2 linked regions of the Notamacropus eugenii genome follow. The protein of the gene in region 1 interacts with the protein of each later gene in a pairwise test. Links are inferred from orthologs where the notes say so. Each region holds a gene or a part of one and is shown on either strand. Other genes may lie near its edges.

Region 1 (10,241 bases):
TTCTCCCAGCAGGTAGATACCAAGACCCATGGCACTCTCTTTTGGCTTCCTGGATCATTAACACTTCACCCTAGAGAAAGAGAGAAGACCTCCCATCCCAGCTGTTGTCCATTGCCCCCCACTTGTCATTTTCAGGCATGACAAATAGCACACTGCCTTATTTTGCATCACAAAGGTCCTTACTAAGACCTCTGAGGGTTTGTCAAGCATGAAGACCTTCTCTCCTCCTATCCAGGACCTTAACAGGTGTCTCAAATACCAGAGTTGGGATGAATGTAGCAGGCAGGGAAACATCAAAGCACTATTTACTGGGTTACCCCTGCTCTTCTATGGTGTCTGAAATATTTTCACTCCCCACCATTTCAACAAGTTCTCTCTGAAAAGCAGACCTACAGGTGCCAGGATTTCAGAGCCTTATCCAGGGTTTTGGGTGTACCAGACACCAGGCCTGTGCCTTATTCCCAGTGTGCGTCTGTTCTCCCCTCCCTGCTAGATTTCAAATTATTAAGAAACATCTCAGACTTGTTTTGATGATCCTACCTCACAGAGCAGTGAAGATCAAATGAGATATGTATGTACAAGTCCACTCTGCCTTCCCTCTGGTGATCACCTCTAATTTATCCTGTCTATGCATATCCTGTCTGTCTGTACATAGTTGTTTGTAGGTTGACTCTCCCAATAGGTATGAGCTCCTTGGGAGTAAGGGACTGATTTTTTGCCTTTTTTTGTATCTCTAATGCTTACTACAGTACTTGGCACATCAGAGGTGCTTAATAAATGCTTGTCAACTGACTTTAAACCTTAGAATGCTATTCAAATGGCCAGCTGTCATCATCCTTGTTACTTTAATTCCTCAGGCCTCACAAATTCTCCCCTGCCTCAGCTCCGATGACCTCTATCACCTCTTTACCACAGCCTCTCACTTAGGTGGTCAAATCTTAGACCTTGCCATTACTTAAAACTATTTCACCTTTGAGATCATAAACTATGAATTTCCTGTCTCTGACATAAATCACTCCCACTTCTCCAGGTCTCCTTTTCATGACCTCTGGTCACCTGATTCTTTCCTCTTTCAGCCACATCCTCTTCTGACTTGTCTCCCTACACAGTCAACCACATGATCACCTCTTTCAAAGTCCCACTCTTCTTTATTCTTGAATACCTTGTCCTTTGACTTTCTGTCATTCTTGCCCTAATTTAAAATCCTAGATGAGGATGAGCTCCCTTCTCTGCTCCTATTCCTGAACTGCCTTAACAAAGTAGAAGTGATGAAAATCCCCTGATGGGGTGCTAGAAATGTATGCTAATAACCCTCAACTGGGACTTCCCTTGATTCATGGCAATTATTCTATTTATGTCTATTGATTCCAAATCACCTTCCCCTCCCCAGCTACTCCAAAACTCCTTTCTCCTCAAACCCCCCAATTCTAATCTATCCCACTCACTGTCAGTAGTTGGCCCCAATCTTAGGTGGTCATCTGCCTGAAACTTCCCTCAATTTCCCTCTTCCACACCTCAAAGTCTGTGGTAATACCCAGACCCAGGCCCAGTTCCTTTCCTCTGGTCTCTGAGGAAGAGGTGACCTCCCTTTCTGGCCACCTGGGCCCATCTCCTCCCTCCTTCTTCAGGACCTGCATCAAATGTATATTCTCCCATCTTTGGTCTCTTCCTCTTTAGTGACGCCTTTCCTTTACTTACAAACATATCCAGGTTTCTCCTAACTTAAAAACAAACAAACACCCTTCTAAATCAGCTATGCCCTCAAACTATTCTTCTTTCCTCTTTAGAAAGAATAGTTATGCACTTCTAAACTTGCCTTTTGACCATTCACTTTTTAATCTCTCTCTCTGGTGGCTCCTCTTCCAGCTCCTGAAAAACAGGGTGGGTGGAGGGAGGAGGTTCCTCACTTCTCTTTTTCCTCAGTATCTCTCCCATCTCCCAGTAACTGACTCTTCTGTCTCAATATCTATCTCTTAGTATCTGCCTCTCTCTCTCTGTCTCTCTCTCTCTGTCTCTGTCTCTCTCTCTCTCTCTCCCTCTCTCTCTCTTTCTCCTTCCCTCCCTCCCTCTCTCTCTCTCTCTCTGTCCCACCCCCATCACTGTCTCTTTCTCTTCCTTTCTCAACTCTGCCTCTCTCTCTTTCCCTCTCTTAGTATCTGCCCCTCTCTCCTCTCCTGTTTCTCTGTATCTTTCAGGATCTGCCTCTCCCCCCCTCCCCTTTCCACTCTCTGTTTCTCTCAGGATCTGCCTGTCTTTCTATAAAGTTTCCCTTGATGATTTCATCAACTTTCATGGCTCCCATTTTCACCCCAAGGCAGATGACTCCCAAATCTTTATCTCTAGATTTGATCCTCCCATGCATGCCAATCCAAGGCTTCCAATTGCCTGTGGGTACCTCCCATATCAAGATGTCCTGTCAGGACTTCAAAGTCAGTGTGTCCTAAACTGAACTCATCATCCTACCTCCAAAACCTGCCCTTCTTGATTTCTGTATTTCTGTTAATAATACTAACACCCTCCCAGTCACAAAAGACCGTAAACCTCAGTAATCTTTAGTTATTCCTCCTCCCCTTGAGGCAGCTAAGTGGTAATAGATCACTAGGTCTGCAGTCAGGAAGATCTGAGTTCAAATTTGACCTCTGGTATTTACTATGTGCGACCCTAGTCGAGTCACTTAACCTCTATCTACCGAAGTTTCCTCAACAGTAACATGAGGACAATGGTGGTACTTACCTCCCAGGGTTGTTGTGGGGATCAAACAAGACGATATTTGTAAAGTGCTTGGCACACAGCAGTGGTTTAAAAAATACCTGTTCTAATCTCCCCATGTCAGTTCAATAAACATTTATTTACCCCAATAAAATATAAGCCCCTTGAAGGCAGGATGTGTTTTGTCCTTTTATCTTTGGATAACCTCAGCATGTGGTACACAGTAGATGTTTAATAAATGCCTGTTCTCACTCTCCTCCCCCTATATCTATTCAATAAGCATTTATTTCCCCCGAGTAGAATACAAACCCCTGAGGGCAGGGACAGTTTTATCTTTTTATCTCTGTAACCCCAACATGTGGCACATAGTGGGTGCTTACTAAATCCTTCCTGAACAGCTGGACAACTGCTAAGGTTTCCCTCTTTATTCAAGACCCGGCTCATGGAGCCAGTCATGGAGCTTTCTCTAAACGTTTGGTCTGCATCTTTCCTATACGTTTATCACACTCCCACCTGCAAGTGCCGACAGGTGAGCTCCCTGAGGGTAGGGATGGTATCTTGTTTCTCCTCTCGGTCTCCTTAGCTTACGGTGAGCGAGTGTTTAATCAATAAATGGTGACTAGAATTCTCCGTGCTTGCACCCTGTGGCAGCCAGCGCGGTGCGCTGTGCCCAGCAGACACTCAGTCAATGTTTGGGGTGAATGTTAGACTTCTTTGGGTGTCACTCCTGCAGGGCACGTAATACAATGCTGAATGAAAACGGGGTCAGCACCTCGCCAATGAGGGGGGCCTCTCCTCGTCTCTCCTTCCTAAGCCCATGGGTTACATGGGCCCGGGCTCTGGGGTCCTCTATCTTGGGGTGTCTGGGGTCCCAAAGACTTTGGAGTCAGGGTCCTGGCTGCCTCTCACCTGGTCGTTGAAGAAGACAGCCAGCACGATATAGGAGACATTCTTCCTGAGCTGCACGGGCACAGGTGAGACCTTTAGCGGTACAGAGTCATAGTCCAGCACCGGCAGCCCCTGGCCCCCCAGCACGGCCCTCAGGTCCCCTGCCAGGCCTGAGGATGCCATTGGCAAGGGCGGGGGTGGAGGGTGGGGGTGGGGAGGGATGCAGGGGAGAGGCTGAGACCCAGACTGGATCACGTGGGGGGGTGTGGTTGGGGTGGAGCAGGGACTCTGGACTCAGGTGGAGCCCCAGGAACCAAGATGGAAAATTTGGGTTCAAAGGAAACGGATCCCGGGGGACACACGGGACAGACTGGAGCTAGGGGCTAAGGGCGCAGAGAGGGCAAGGTCAAGGTCAGGGTCAAGGCCAGAATCGGCCCTCGGGAAGGCTCAGGCCCAGTCGGACGAGTGGGGGGAGTTAGAGGGGGAGGGGAAATCAGGGCCTGCTCGGGTTCCCTCCTCCGGCCCCACCTCTCCCGGGAGACCCAGGCGTGCCCTCCCCACCCCCGCTGTTATGACGTTAGCCGTCCCGGCCCCTCCATTGGCCATTGGCCTTCCGGAGGTGGAGACTGTTCTTAAAGGAGCCGAGTCTGAGGAGTGACCGCTCAGACTTCCGCTTTCCCTGCTTGCGCTGCCCCCTTCGCTTCTCCCTCCGGCGGCGTGATGACGTCACCGCCCCCTGCGGATAGCAGATGACGTCACCCACAGAGGCGGGTGGGTGAGGCCTAGGACGGCTTCGGAGTGACGTCACAAAAAAGCGGTGACAGCTCCCCCTGACCTTTGCCTACCGCACCCCCGCTGTCTACTTCGCCCTCCCCCCTGCACCCCAGTCCGACGCAGCCACTGCCGCCCTCCTCCCTCGGGCACCCCTAAAGCTGCCCCCTGCATCGCCTGGCGCCCCTCAGAACTGGGTCAGTGCCTTTCCCCAGGTCGGCCCTTCGGACGCTGGGAGCCGGCTCGAGCCCGCAGCTCCGATTCCTTCCCCGCCCCCACCGCGCCCGGTAGTCCTTGGAATTTGGACGCTTGCGAACCGAACGCTTGTCTTTGTCTACCCCCAAGTCGCGGCCGCGGGGTGCCCCTGGCCTCCGAGCTCGGGGCTAGCGCTGGTCTGCCCACGCGCGCCCCCGGGGGCCGCGAGCCTTCTCACGAACAGGCGCCTGACCCCGCCACCCCCCCCGCGCCTCTGCGTGTCTGATCCTGCGAGTGGCTTTACGCGCGTCCGTGCAGCCCTGGACGTGCCGGGCAGCCTGGGGCTCTGCCGGGCCGCGTCACCGCGGAGAGCATCCCGCGGGCCGCGGGCTGGGAGGGGCGGACGGTCGTTACCTGGTCCGTTCGGCTGGTCCAGAGTCTGGCTCCCGCGCTCTCCCGGTGCGGTAGCCAGAGCGCCGGCCCGGGGTCAGGAGACCAGCCTTAAAGTCCCACCTGCTCCGTCCTCGGGACGTGAGGGGAAGAGCGCCCACCTCCCAGCGCCAGGTGAGATGGCATTTATAAAGCACCTGGCGAACTTGGAAGGGTTATTGCGATACCGGAGTGGCCCCGGGCAAGTCACTGAACTGCCTGCCTCAGTTTCCTCATCTGTAAAATGGAGGTAACGTAGCACAGACCTCTCCGGACTGTGAAGATCCAGTGGTGTAATGTTTGTGAAGGACCTTGCAGACCTTGAATTGCAGTATGAATGCTCATTCTCATGACTGCTATTAGCCTTCCGACACATCGGCTAGGGGAACCAGGACCAGTCATTTCACCTCTAGGCGCCCTTGGCAGCTGGGACTATAATAAGCCAAAGCGTTGACTTTCTTTGACATAGGGAGTTTCCTCATATTAGGGTTACTGTATCAGTGAAACCATAGCTCCGGTCCAAATGCCCTGAATAGGCTCCTGGTTCTTGTCACCCAACCACTCTCCCTTCCATCTTTATGTCATCTACAGATCTGATAAGCAAACCAGTTATACCTTCATCCAAGTCATTGATAAAAATCTGAAAACAGCACAGGGCCAAAGTCTGGGCATCCGTCAATGGCATCATCATCCATGAATGTTGGTTATACCAGAATCCCCAAATTCCCCTGTCTGACCCAAACCTCTCCACCCTTCCCCAAGCTTCACCCCTCTTAAAGTGCTCTTCCTCACCTGAGTCTGCAATGCCAGTTCTCCCATTTCCTCAGCCAGTACTGTGGCCCTATTTACCTTCTTTCCCAGTGTTCACATTAGAGTAAAACCAGTTCAACTTTATTCTGTTTTCTGCTCTCCAAATCTCTAACCACCCCCTCCACAAATACCTACATCAAGTCATTAAACTTCTCTGTCATCTGTGATATGGGGATCATAAGTGCACCTACCTCCCCAGGTTTTTGTGATGCCTCTAGGCATCTCAAACTCAACCTTTCCAAAATAGAATTCATTTTCTTTTCCCCAAATCCTCTTCTTCCAGACTTCCCTATGCACTTAGCATAGAGCTTTGTACATAGTAAGGGCTTAATAAATTCACTATTCCTTCAGTCTTAGGTGTGGGAGTGGGGGAGAGACTCACCACCATTCTTCCAGTCACCCAGGCTCTCAAATCTCAGCATATCTCCCCTTCCTCACTTTCCCTCACCCTATATATCCAGTCCATTGCCATGTCTTGTCATTTCTCACTTCTCAATATCTGTCCAGCACATCCCCTTCTTTCTACTCATGCAGCCATCCAGGCCCTCATCACCAGTCTCCTGGTAGTGGTTTCCCTGCCTCAGGTCTCTTTCCAATCCAATCCATCCTTCAATCACTGCCAAATTATTTTCATGAAATACAGGGGGCCATGTCACCCCCTTGATCAGAAAGCTGCAATGCCTCCCTATTACCTCCAGAATCAAATATAAAATCCTATGGTATTGAAAGCCTCTTACAACTTGGCCCATTGCTAACTTTCCAGTCTTCTTATACCCTACTCCCCCTCATGATCCAGAAACAATGGCCTCTTTGAAGTTATTTCCTTGAATAAGACATTCATCTCCCACCTCTGTGCCTTTGCACTGGCTGCCCCCATGCCTGGAATGCTCTTCAACTCAAATTCCACTTTCTCAATGGCCCTTCCCCCTCGCTCCCCCCCCCCCCCCCCCCCCCCCGTCAGATTACTTTCTCTCTCTCTCTCTCTCTCTCTCTCTCTCTCTCTCTCTCTCTCTCTCTCTCTCTCTCTCTCTCGTATGTACCTAGTTATTTACATCTACTCTCTCCCATTAAAATCCCATTAGATTAATCCCATTAATTACATTAATCCCATTAGAATTAGGCCCTTGAGGGAAGGGCTTGTCTCTTTTTTCTTGTCTCTCTTTTTTTTAATCTCCAGCACTTAGTACAGTGCTGGCCACCTTTCTGACCAGCTAAGTGGCACAATAGATAGAGCACTGAGTCTGGAGTCAGGAAGACCTGAGTTCAAATCCAAGTGTGTGAGCCAGCAAGTAATTTAACCTCTCACTGCCTCAGTTTCCTCATCTGTAAAATAGAAATGAAAATAGCACCAACCTTCCAGGGTTGTTGTGAGGATCAAGTAAGATAACAATTGTAAAGCACTTTGCCAACCCTAAAGTGCTATGTACAAATGCTAACTATTATTAAATAATTATTGACTCACTGATTGTGCTTACTGTATATTTTTCACATTTGCTTATCTGTATATATACATATATGTGTGCATATATGTATGTGTATATACATGTGTGCATGTGTGTATACATACACATACACACATATATATGTTCTTTCCCCACAATAAAACATAAGTTCATTAAGGTCAGAGTCTGTTTCATTTTTGTCTTTGTACTTAGCACAAAGTAGAGGCTTAACAAATGTTTTATTTATAATTTATAATAAATGTTTATTGAGTTGAGTTGTGGATATGACAAATCCCTGTAGTCAGTGGAGACAGTTCATACTGACTAGGAAAATGCTACAAACCAGGACTTGACTTCTCATTTTGTAGATTGTCCAGATTTAAGAAAGTTATGGAGAAAATGTTAATAATTCAGATTAAAACCAAAAGTGTATCCAATGTGCTTTTTCTTCTCCAAAGAAGTGTTTGTTAAATGCTAGGACATCCCTGTCTGTGGCCATTAAACTTCAGACATCAGTGCAAGCAAAGTACAGTCATTCAACCAGCTTTGTATCCACTCTACAGCACCTTTCCCATTCTACAAAATTTTTCAGAGATGATCAACCATAGCTAAGCACTCACATTACAAGTTATTTTACTCTGGGAGTAGTTCTTCTGGACCGGTGATAAAAACTCATTGAGGACAGCTCTTTTTCCCTCATTTATTTACTCATTAGCACATTTCCTCATTCACTTGTTCACTCATCTATTTAATCATTTATTCATGACTCATCAATTCTTTGCCATACTTACCCATTCACTCACCATTTGTTTGCTCATTCATTCATTCATTGAAAAAAAATTTAATCTGTTGTTAAGTAGAGCATTGTAAAGAAAGATAAAATAGATATCTGACTTTCCAGAGCTGAGACTTGAAGGATGAAGAGGTTATAAATCTTTGTTTCATTGAATTGAGTTGAATTAAATGATGGCTAAGTGAAGAAGAAGGGGAGGGTACCCAAAGAGCCCCCTAGGGTAAATGCTCAGAGCTGTGGTCCTAGTTCCTAGTCTTCCTCATCTGCGTCCACATTTTGGGGGGAATTCTTTTGGGATTTTTTTATGGGTCCACTCAGTGCCCAGGACAAAGTCTATGCCCACCACATTCTTCCCGTTCTCTTTCTGTGTTCCCCACCCCTTACCCTCAAGCATCTGATCCATCTTACCTGGTCCAGTGACCGCCAAAGGCTGCTTCTGCCTGTAAGGATTCCCATGTTCACACTTGTCTTTCTTCCCTTGGCTCTTTGCCCAGACTCTCCCTGTCTGCACTTGCATTTTGGAGCACGCTCACAACAGAGACCCTCTTCTATTCTTACTGAGGCTATAGGCTTGGGCACACAGTAGGTGTTCTGTGATGGATTCATTAATTAATAAGGGATTGCCCACCATAGAGCTCACCACCTATTCTCCATTCAGATTCTTTCAAGGCTCCCAGGGTCAACCCATTAGCCAAGAACAGGGAGTCCTGGGGCAGTGAGTCAGGACGCCTAAATTCCAGACCTATTCCACACTAATTTGCCTTGTGAGTGTTTGGGCCTCAGGTATTCCTGTCTGTAAAGTGGGGATGATGATCCCAATCTCCTCCCTGCCTCCCAGGGATGTGGTGAGAATGAATGAGATCATGTCTGGGCAGGGCATTGAGTGCCTCTGAGACAGAGGCTAAGATAAACACCTGGTTGGAAAAACCGAATGCAATAAGGAAGACATTTCCTTAGTCCTTACTTGCTTTCTTCCTTCCTTTCTCCTTTCCTTCCTTTCTTCCTTTCTTCCTTTCTCTTTCTCTTTCCCTTTCTTTCCTTCTTTCTCTTCCTTTCTTTGTCTTTCTTTTTTCTCTTTCCCCCTTTCACTTTCTTCTTTTCATCCTTCTTCCTCCTTTCTTTTTTTCTTCCTCTTCCTCTGTTTTTTTCTGTCCTTTTTCTCTTTTTTTGCTTTCTTTCCTCCTCTGTGTTCCTCTCAACTTATGGATTCACACAAACTCCTAGGTTCAAAGTGGGGTAATTTGAGGAATAAGTGTACCTTAACAGGGACTCCATCATAGTTCAACTGGGAACCTCTAAAAATTATTTAAACTCAGTTTGCATCTTACCAGCAGACTGGCCAAGGAGCATGCTTTTCAAAAGTTAAACATTTAGTCAGGACTACAGGAAAACCTATCTCAAATACCATTCTCAAATACCATATCTCAAACCATTCTCAAATAAGTAAAAATTCATTCCCACTTCTTACTTCCTACCAGAACAGCCTGGGAAAATAAATTCTCCAAGACACATGGCCCCAAAATAGGAGAATAGAAAGTGCTTTCTCTCTCTCTCTCTCTCTCTCTCTCTCTCTCTCTCTCTCTCTCTCTCTCTCTCTCTCTCTCTCTCTCCCTCTCTCTCCCCCTACACCCCTCTCTGCCTCTGTCTCTGTTTGTCTCTCCATCCCCTTTCTCCCTCTCTGTCTCTTTCAGTATCAGATTCTCTTTCTCCAAAATTTCACTTGATGAGATCATCAACTTTCATGGCTCAGTTTTTCCCCCAAGGCAGTCTCAGCACCTTCTCACAGCCCAGTTGTCTGCTCATGTTGCTCACTGGGGTCTCAGAAACATGTCAGGACTCCTGAGCTCCTGCACAGTGGTAGTACAGTCTCTCCCCATATGGCTGCACTTTTTCCTTCTACCCAGAGTTCTCTGTCACTCTCCTGAAGGAGGTTTTTTCCCTCTCCACCTCTGTAGCAAAGGCATAGCTTTTCCTGGGAAATGAAGTCCTAGGAATATCAATTAGGCTTGATGTTGAATTGAGGGTCTTATGAAAAATGTAGTCCCTTCAATCATATGTACCCCTATTAAATCCGACCCATGATAAAAATAATTTCACTCCCTACAAATCACACTTGGTGAATATATACAGTTATACTTCATAAAATATCCATTGATTTGTATGAAAAAAATCACAATTATCCCTGAGACATATCATAAGAACAT
Region 2 (10,155 bases), on another chromosome or scaffold:
CTTAAATGGGTTGCATTGGGTGCCCATAAAAGTCATTCGAATATAGAAAAAATGTTCTTAATGTAATTTGAAACTAAAGGGACCAGTATAGCAGGTTGTATGTTATAACTGAAAACTCTGTGCCTTTGAAAAATCCTCTCCAGCTCCAAATTCCTAGATCTCTCACAAAGCACAAAGGAGAAGTCACTAAATGTTACCTGTAATTTGCCTGGCATAACTAGGTCTCAGATAAAGAAGGTAAAGTGTTTGAAGTGGATGAACAGCCGGCCTCAGTCAAGAAGAGAGGGGTTAATGCTCAATTCTTCACATACTAACTGTGACCCTACAGAAGTCTTAACTTCAGTTTCCAGGATTGTAAGGTCATTTAACTTCTTAGTCCTACAGATAACTATGAAGGTGAGAGAGTTTTCTCAATAGGAACCTTCTACGAGGATGTAAACACAGGTTTAGAGAGGGAAGGGGAGGAAGGAAGGAAGGAAGGAAAGTTTTAACTGTATTTAACAGAGATGCAGTTGGAATCAGTGGATAAAAGACTGACTTTGGAGTCAGGCAAATCTGCATTCGAATCCTATCTCTATACTAAATGTTTGAGCCTGAGCAAGTCACCTAATGTCTTCCTGCTAAAGGCAATTAGCTTTCTAAAGCAAGAGTTCTAAACCTGGGGACTTTCTCACAGATTTCAGGAGGTCTGTGAACTAGTTTTTAGAAATATTTTGATAATTGCATTTTTTTTCCTACTCTCTTCTTTACTTTTTTGCTTTCCTTTCCTAGTTCTCTCCTTCCTGTCTTCCTTCATTTCCTGTCTTTCTACCTTCTTTCCTTTCTCTTCTTTTTAACTTCCTTCTTTCCTTCTTTTCCTTGCTTTCTTCCCCAGGGAGCTTGCCATTGGATCATAGACTATTAGAACCAGAAGGTCCCTTAAAGATGAGGTACTCCAGCCCCCTCCTTTTATAAATGAGAAAGCTGACACCCAGAAAGTTTGACTTGCCCAAGGCCACAGTAAGTAGCAGTAAAAACAGAGCTATATTTCAAACTCTGGTCTTTATGATTAGTGCACATGGGCAAGAGATCACCATTTCACAAACTCTTTTATTTCTTTATTAGATCTATTGTTTTGAGCTGTAACTGAAGCATCCCCAACTACAAAACTTACTCTCCCACTCCTCCAATTTGAATTATATTCTTACAAGCCATGTCCTTGCTAGAGCATAAAAGGGTCATACCCTTACATACTTCCTGCTTATCCCCCTCCCCCCCCCCATATTATAGAATCTTACAACCAATAGGATCAAAAAAGTAATTTAGCCTTTGGCAACTGGTGGCACAGTGGTTACAGCACTAGGCCTGGAATCAGGACCTGCTTTCAAATCTGACTTCTTGTAATAAGATATTTACCAACAGTGTAATCCTAGACAAGCCATTTAACCTCTGTTTTCCTCAGGTTCCTCAACTATAAAATGGAAATATTAATAGCACCTACTAACAGGGTTGTAATATTTGTAAAAAAAAAAAAAAGTATCTGGCACTTGGCAAGCACTATATAAATCCTTATTCATTTCCCCATTCCACCCCTACCTCCTTCATTTAGTCTAAAACTGTCACCTTGCAGAGGAAATGGACCCAGAAACTATGCCAAAGGCTATAAAACCCTGTATACCCTTTGACCTACCACTACCACTACTAGGTTTGTATTCCAAAAAAATTAAAAAGAAAAAAGACCTATATGTACAAAAATATTTATAGCAGCTCTTTTCTGGGGGAGCAAAGAAATAGAAATTGAGGGAATGTCCATCATCTGGGGAATGGTTGAAAACATTTCGGTGTGTGACTGTGATTCAACATTATTGTGAGAAATGATGAGCAGGATACTCTTAGAAAAACCTGAAAAGACTTACATGAGCTGATGCAAAGTGAAATGTATTGTGCACAAAGTAACAGCAATAATGTAAGATTATCAACTGTGAATGACCTAGCTATTTTCAGCAAGATAATTATCCAAAACAACTCTGAAAGATATAGGATGAAAAATGCTGTCCATCCCAAGAGAAAACTGATGGTATCTGAATACAGATTGAAGCACACTTTTTTTTAACTTTATTTTTCTTGAGGATTTTTTAAAGTCTATGTTTTCTTTCACAACATGACTACTATGGAAATGTTTTATATGACTACACATGTATAAACTATATCTAATTGCTTGCCCTCTCAATGAGGGTGAGTGTGGGGTGGGGTAGGGTGGGGTGGGGAGGGATGAAGGCAGAGAATTTGGAACTCAAAGTTTTAAAAATGAATGTTAAAAATTGTTTTTACATGTTATTGGGGAAAAATAAAATGCTAAATAAATAATAAAATAAAATTGGAACAGTTAAGGACATGGAGCAAGAAAAGCAAAATGACTTGATATGAGGTATGTGAGTATTGAAATGGAAACTGGAACCTGATTTGGCTTCTTTTGCCTCTCTCTGCTCTAAAGGAAAAAAACTCAAAGGTAGAGGAGCACTGGTATTTATGTCCCAGGAGACGCTGAGAAGGAGAATCCAAGGGTTCAGGGATCCTCATCCCTTTTCTGAGGGGAGAGAGATTGATTAAAGGACATCCAGACTGCTGTTGGTGGGTGCAGAAATGTGGAAAAAATGCCAGCTTTGAGTTTCTCTAATTACCTTGGGATTCAGAAAGACAAACCAGTCAAACTTTCCTTCTCCATACACTCTCTAGGACTGGCTTTCTTTAGAGTTTGGGTTGGGATTCTCATGCATGGGCTGGTTAACTCAAATGGCTACGATGCTATGGATGCAAAGGTTACAGGTACAGTTCTACAGCAGGTTTGTTTGATTCTCAATCCACTCTATGGTCCTGGAATGCAGCCCCAAAGCCTAGGACCCCTATACCATGAGTCAAACTGTGGATTAGTGTAATTCATCTTTACTTTCAGGAATCAACCAAAAGAGATAACAAAAATACCCCAAACCTTTAAGAATAGATTAATATCCTTATTATATTGGGAAATCCTCTGTAACATCGTATTTTAAGAAAGTGTTTCCTGTTCTCTTTTATCTTAGTCCCTTCTCTTTATACATGGCTTGTTTGTACATAGTTTACACATAGCTATTTGCCTATTGTTTCCCCATCAAAGTTTGAGAACAAAGACTGTCAGCCTTTTGCCTTTTTTTGGAGACTCAGCATTTAGTAAAAGTGTCTGGCACACAGCAGGTACTAAACAAATACTTGTTGATTTAAGGAGCTGATTCTTCTAGTTCTTTTTATCCCAAGATTTATTAAAAGTACTCTGTAGTACTCTGTGCTTAAAGTGGGCGGTGATGATGACATTTGACAGTGAACAACAAATTTTGGCATCTAAAAATTTATAATTATGGGCAATATGCTAATTGTGATTGATGATGAACTTATTTTGATATTGTATTGAAAGTTTATAAAGCCATCAGGAATTAATGATGTTATATAAGTTCCCGGAGGACAGGAACCTTTTCATTCTCTTGGTTTTGAATGCAAAAGCACCTAGTTAACATGAATGAATAAATGAATCATCTCACTAACGGCTTGAAGTCCTTATAGACACGTAAAGCAAAACAAATAAAACTCTTTGGCCTCCTCTTTCAAGAACTGAACATTCCAAAGTTTCATCATTTTTTTTTTGTTTGCTTTTGTTTGTTTTTTAGAATCTCCTCATTTCCCCTCACAGAAAAGTAAAATGTCAAATTTGGAAGGGACCTTTTAATTCAACTCCCTTATTTTATAGTTGAGGAAAACTGAGACCCAGAAGAGTTGCATAACTTAATCAAGGTCACATAGGAAAAGAATTAGAAGAGGAGAAAACTGAATTCAGGTCTCCTGATTTGGAGAATAGTAGCACTTTCCCCTCTATTAAGGCCACACAGAGCTCTACACTCAAACACGACTAAAAATTCTTAGCTCTTAGATCCTTTCACTTCCTTCCCTTGCATTTATTTGCTTTTTCCGAACTTCTCAAGTACTGAACAATCCTATTTTAAATGTACACAAGGTATGTTACTTTAACAACTTTTAAAATGAATTCTTATCCGCATTTTAGGGAATGGTGATTCTGAGGACTCAGAGAGGTCAAGTATGGGTGCCTGTGGTCCCTCACAGGACAGATTTCTCTTGCATGGCTTGGACATTCAGCGGAAATGTTTCCCCGTTTTTTTCTTCCAAATCAAGAAGTCAGGGCAAAATTCTACTTTCTTCAAGCTCCTTGAGCAAGTGGTTTGCCAAGTCTTAAAACTTCCTAAAGATGAATTGCTATTAATGATCAATTGGGTTTCTAGTGACTACGTAACAGTACCATTCATTTGGTTAATATATCAAATAGCACTTCTTGCACTTTTACAGATTGTGTACTTTTCAAAGGGCTTTCACACACTAGTGAGGTAGGTACTTTGGAGAAGTTATTATCCCCATTTTACAGAGAGAATTTTAGGGGCTCAGAATCAATGAAATTAGGAGTGAAAATGGGGCAAGAGGAAATTCCCCTCCATGCTTGGAGCGTCGGCTCCTCGTTTTTCTGAAAACATTCATGCACATTTTGAAAGGGCTGGGCTGGTCACTTTCCAAGAACATTTGGGAGAGAAACAAACCAATCAACCCACAACCTCCAGGCTTTAGGAATCCCTGTGGATTTATTCTGGTCTCTATCCCTCCTCCCCCAGGCTTGCTCGTCCGTACGGGCTGCCACCCAGCCAAGTCTCACACCTTTACCCTATCTCCTTCCTGGGCCTGTGTCTCTCTCCAATTTAAAGGGGAAGAGCTGAAACCGCAAAGAAAGCGCTTGAAGCAAATGCCTCCCTCGTGGTGGGGGCAGCATCTGCACAGCACAATTCTGCTGGAAGGGTGGGGAAGTTCTCGGCTCATTTCAACCCTGCCCCGGTTCTTGGGGGGTGGAGAGCCCCAGAGCGGGAGGCGTAATCGGAGGTCTCACAGAAGTTGCACAGACGCTCCCGGGTGCAGAGCGGAGTGGGCGATTTGGCAAAAACAGGGGTGAAGGAGGGCGCGGCCCAGCTACCCCACACTGCGCCAGGTTCTTGAGCTTTGCGTTCCGCGGAAAAGGGGGTGGGGGGAGAGAACACAATATGCTGATTGCCTGGCAGGGGTCGGGCTGCGGCAGCAGCTGGAGGGAAGTCCCTGGTCCGGGCAGCCGAGGTTGTTTTTCTCTCCTCTCTCTCTCTCTCCCTCTCCCTCTCTCTCTCTCAGCTGCAGTGGGCGGGGTTCTCCCCGGGCGGGCCAGGCGCGAGCTGGATCGGATGACCCTCCCCACCCCCGGCCCTGCTTTCTCTCTCTTCTTCTCCCACCCAGCCCGCCCCATCCCCCACTTCCCTTTCTTTCTTCTCCGCCCCCTGGGCAGGCACCACCCCCTGCCCAATGGCCTGGACCGTTTCGCCCCTCATCAGCTGAGCAGGTCGGGCGCTGGGCTGCGGGAAGCCAATCAGGGCTGGCGGGGGCCGGCCCTGCGCGGGGAATAAATGGAGCTAAGCGGGCTGGCGAACCGGGCAGAGCCGAGGATGGAAGCGGCTGACTGTTCTGTAGCCACCGGAGCCATCTGCACGGCCACCCCCTAGAGTCTCCGACCAGCCCCGCCAGCCAGCGAGCCCGCGGAGCGATCGGCCTGTGCCCTCCACCTTGACAGCTGATTTCCGCGTCTTACAAGACCCAGGTAACCACCCAGCCCACCCCGAGCCCTCTCTAGAGGGGCGGGGAGGGACCCCGCAAAGGATGTTTTTCAAAACTTGTCTTTTCCCAACCCCGCCTCCCCGCCCGAGCCCCGAGGTCTTTCTTCTTCCCCCTTACGCCTCCCTCCTTGGTGCACAAGTCGCCCCGAAGCGTGCAAGAATGCCTTCTTGTTTCCAAGGATTGTGCTGATGCTGGGCGCTCTATGGAAAGACTTGGGCGGGGGTAGGAGGGGGAAGAGGATTGTTTTTCTTGGTGTCCTCAGGACCTCCCCAAGGGCCTTTTCGATGGTCGCCCCCGCATGCACAGTGCTTTTAGACGTTGGGGTCCAATGTTTGAGTATCCGGACTGGGATTGCGACGTTTCTGTTTGATCTTCTTTGTGGGAGTGAAACCCAGAGATTGTGTTTGGGGTTTCGCGTTCTTCTAGGAGGAGGGGAGGAGAAAGCTTTTCGGGATTTTGTTCTAAAATTTTATTGGAAAGGGAGTGGCCGGCCTGGTCACAGCTCAGTTACTTGTGCACCACCTCGGCGGCTTGCAACCGCGGGATAGGTCCCGGAGAAATTCCGGGGCAATTCGAGGCTTCCATTTGTGACCAAACAATGGGACCTCCCGAGCTGCTGCGTTACCTTGAGAGTCGGCGGAGACTGGAAGAGGCCAGAGACAGAAGGCAGCCGGCCTGGCCTCTTTTACATTCTGCCTGGCTGCCTCACCCTCCCCCCGGCACCCTCTTCTCTAAGGAGGGGCATGCTCCTTCTTACAGTTCTCTCTCTGTAAGATCGTAAAATCAGGAGCTGGAGGGGAGGGGCGGGGGGTGGGGGGCAGGGGGTCCATCTCCTTGCCAACCACTGGAAGGGAAAGAAGCGAGGGGTAAAGGGAGGGAGAAAAGGGTGGAAAGCCCAGAAGACTCGGGGTCATCCGCCTCCTCGTACAGCTCCTATATTCCTCGGACGTTGAAGTCAGAGGGGACCCCTTTAGTGATTATGAAGGCAGTTTCCTCCCAGACTATTTCTCCTCGATCGATATCCCCGCACCTGGTTTCACGATCCTCTTCTCCTCGGGCCCGGAGGGGAAAGGGGGAAAAGCGAAATCACAGCGATCAGTATGAGACCAGCGACTATGAGGAAAGGCATGGGCAGAAGCTGAAAAAGAGACGGTTGAAGCGTAGGCCTAATCAGATCGATTTCCTTATCCCACAATGGCCGGGGTGAGTGGAGAAGAGGAGGAGACGGGGGGGGGGGGGGGGGGGGGGGGGGGGCGGGGGGGCGGTGATCTCGAAGAAAGAAGAGAGAAAAAATTCGGGAAAGCAGCAGCTTCCACCCCAGACCACTTTTAAGGCCCTACAGGTGTTCCTGCCTAATGTGGTTTAGCCTGAGGTTAAAACGCTGAAGGAAAAACTCCTTGGCCAATAGAGGAAGTATACTTTGTCTTTAAAAAAAAGTGCCCCGGGATGAATTGACTAGACTTGTGTTTTTTTCCTTTCTTTTTTGAAGAGGACCGTGGCATCAGCGAAATGTTGACATGACTTGCAGTAGACTTTGATTTGAGTGAGGTTCTGTGCAAGGTCACCAGCCTCACTTTCTCCTCCAGAGTCATCTGTTTCTGGTGACCAGACAGACCTCAGGATGACTAGAGATGGCCAAGGAAGCAGTGGGACACCCTTGCCCTTTTAGGCTGAGGTCTTTTGAGGTACTCAAGTGAGTTAAGGGTCATTCAGTGAATAGGACTAGACTTGGTAAGTTAGTGGAAGGGAGGTCTCCTGGAAAGAGTCCAAGGAGAAATGGAATTTCCCTGGTATTGTTGGAGAAGCAGTTGAGGTATTGACCCGACCATGTGAATTTCCCCCCAAAGTCTTGACTGAGTAAGTGGGAACTGGGTTGTGGTTACCTATGGAAACTGTTGCTTCTGTGTTCAAAGTTATCTTTGGTAGATCTCACCAACCACTCTGCCCTTCTAATTGTATTTTCTCCCTTGATTTGGGAGATTTCTTTAAAAGAAGCTTGAACTGTATGCTTGGGTGCTCTCTGGTTTTTCAGGACTCCTTCATCTTTTGATTAGACTAATACTTGACCCATGTTCTGGACATGGGAGTTTTCCTGACTGATTTGAAGTTAGCCCTAGTGGGGGCAGGATGTGGGTTGGTAGATTTGGATTTGATCCCAACTTTTAAATCTGATGGTTGCTCCTTCACTACTTCAGTGGAATGAAGAAAAATGCCATCTCCCTGTCTTAAAAGCTGTGTAATGGGTCAATAAACTATCTGTACCGTTGGGTACATATAAGGCACTATAAGCCTTTCCATTTATTGATCCTTCCTTTGGAAACCTGCTGGCCTTCTAATTTTTAAAGTTTTTCTCCAGGCACACCTCCCTTTTCTGTTAGGTATTTAGAGAATTTGTGGCTTTGTTAATGCCTGAGAGAAGCGGCATAATTGATAACTGATTCAAACATCTGTGTATCTCTATGCAGGGAGCTACCATCTCTGAAGCCTTCCTTGATTTCCATCCACCCAGCTGCCAGTGTGTTCTTTGATTTACTATATATGTTCCATTATTCTGTGTACACCTGTAATCCCAATTAAAGAAGCTCGGAGTAGGGGCTGTTTTGGTTTTGTCTTTTATGTCCCTAAGACCTACCTTAGTACTTTGCTTTATTCATTTAACAAATATTTGAAAGACTAATTGACTGAAAGCTTGGGAGTTAATGCTTTGGATATGATTTACCTGTCTGGGTAAATCTGCTTTTCTGAGGAATCCTAGCAACAGATCAGCTTGGGGTCAGTGTTCTCATGTTTTCTTTCTTTTTACCTCCCTTCCTGTCGTCTTCTCTTCCCTCTCTTTAACCAGGTCAACTTCCAACATGGCCACCTCAGCCAGTTCTCACTTGAACAAAAATATCAAGCAGATGTACCTGAACCTGCCTCAAGGGAACAAAGTCCTGGCCATGTATGTTTGGATCGATGGCACTGGTGAGGGACTTCGCTGTAAGACTCGGACCCTAGACAGTGAACCGAAGAGCATTGATGGTAAGAGGAAATCCATCCCTGCAGCTACCCTTTCTTTCCATGTTTCTTCTGTCCAAAGCATTTACCTTTGACTGTTTTGTATTGTGTATATCAGACTCTGAACACTTGAGCAAAACCTATGCTACCCTTAGCCTAATTCCTACCAGATTAATTTTTATTGTATTCCAATTGAAGACAAAAGAATGGGGGCCTCTTATTTAAATCAAAATCTGCAAGAGAAGAGTTGACCCACTCCATTGGCTACTAACACTATATTAGTAATTAAAAATCTCTGATCCTGGTGAATTGGTCTCACCTTCAGTTTGCTTCCTGTGCAAATCCAAGGGCAGTCCTAATAATAGTTGGCATCTGCAGACCTTTAAGATTGCTAAGTGCTTTATATTCATGTCATTTTAGCCTGTGAAGCAGGTATAGTTAAACCTTTTTTACACATGAGGAGTTTTAGATGTTAAGTGGCTTGTACAAGATCAGAATGTACAGAATGAGAATAGGATAGTGACTCCAACTACCTTAGAATATAATTTTTCTTACTGAGGAAGAATAGGGTGAATGGTAAGGGGGAAAGACACTTGGGCAAAGTATAAAATAGTAAAAACCTTTGTAATTTATAAATTAGGGCAGCTAGGTGGCTCAGTGGCTAGAACACTGGCCTAGAGGCAGGAAGACTTGGGACACTTACTAGCTTTGTGACCCTGGACAACAAGTCACTTACCATGTTGGCCTCAGTTTCCTCACCTGTAAAAGGAGCCAGAGAAGGAAATGACAGTACCACTCCAGTATCTTTGCAAGGAAAACCCCAACAGGAGTCATGAAGAGTCAGACACAACTGAAAAATGACTAAATTACTTACAGTTAAAGTACTTAAATTATTTGTACTTTGAGCAAAGTTTTTTACTGAAGGCTCTGGTTTTGGAATCATAAGAGTGCCTGAGGTTGAATATACTGTTTCCCTTACCTACTTGTGTAGACATTGGGGTAATAGCTTTCCTTTGAAGATCATTTTCCTCATCTGTAACATGAGGAGGTTGGATTAGTTGATCTCTGGCCCTTCCAGGTCTAAATCTGTGACTAGTAAGAACTCTTCCTGGTTAATCTCTTGTCTTTCTCTTTTTTCTCTTATCACAAGAATTCATTCTTTCTACGGGGAAAAAAGAAACAATTAGGTGGGAAGGTTGGGAATAATAATCCAGACTGAAAAACGTACATCTTTTAATGGAATTGATTGTCTTACCTCCTACCTCTTCTCTCCCTATTCCTCCCAGAACTACCTGAATGGAATTTTGATGGCTCTAGCACTTTTCAGTCCGAAGGCTCTAACAGTGACATGTACCTTATTCCTGCTGCTATGTTCCGAGACCCCTTCCGAAAGGACCCCAACAAACTGGTTTTCTGTGAAGTTTTCAAGTATAACCGCAAGCCTGCAGGTAAGGA

What was found.
Region 2: the proteins of NUDT18 (region 1) and GLUL interact in a two-hybrid assay, tested with the Homo sapiens proteins (2 studies listed by BioGRID and IntAct). The two-hybrid records come from large-scale screens. The link is inferred for Notamacropus eugenii from reciprocal best matches to the Homo sapiens genes NUDT18 and GLUL.

What each region holds. Positions count from the first base shown.
Region 1 is NC_092872.1:612,588,502-612,598,742, reverse strand, and holds the start of NUDT18 (8-oxo-dGDP phosphatase NUDT18), read right to left. Parts: upstream 4,422-10,241; 5' UTR 4,217-4,421; coding exon of another isoform or gene 4,169-4,216; 5' UTR 3,781-4,168; coding exon 3,619-3,780; intron 3,613-3,618; exon of another isoform or gene 3,223-3,612; intron 3,217-3,222; exon of another isoform or gene 2,734-3,216; intron 1,870-2,733; exon of another isoform or gene 1,817-1,869; intron 71-1,816; coding exon 1-70. Other genes in the region: uncharacterized protein, read left to right, coding at 4,169-4,216, 4,422-5,127. UniProt on the Homo sapiens protein: Mediates the hydrolysis of oxidized nucleoside diphosphate derivatives. Hydrolyzes 8-oxo-7,8-dihydroguanine (8-oxo-Gua)-containing deoxyribo- and ribonucleoside diphosphates to the monophosphates. Hydrolyzes 8-oxo-dGDP and 8-oxo-GDP with the same efficiencies.
Region 2 is NC_092873.1:462,941,735-462,951,889, forward strand, and holds the start of GLUL (glutamine synthetase), read left to right. Parts: upstream 1-6,323; 5' UTR 6,324-6,682; coding exon 6,683-6,906; intron 6,907-8,545; coding exon 8,546-8,724; intron 8,725-9,986; coding exon 9,987-10,148; intron 10,149-10,155. UniProt on the Homo sapiens protein: Glutamine synthetase that catalyzes the ATP-dependent conversion of glutamate and ammonia to glutamine.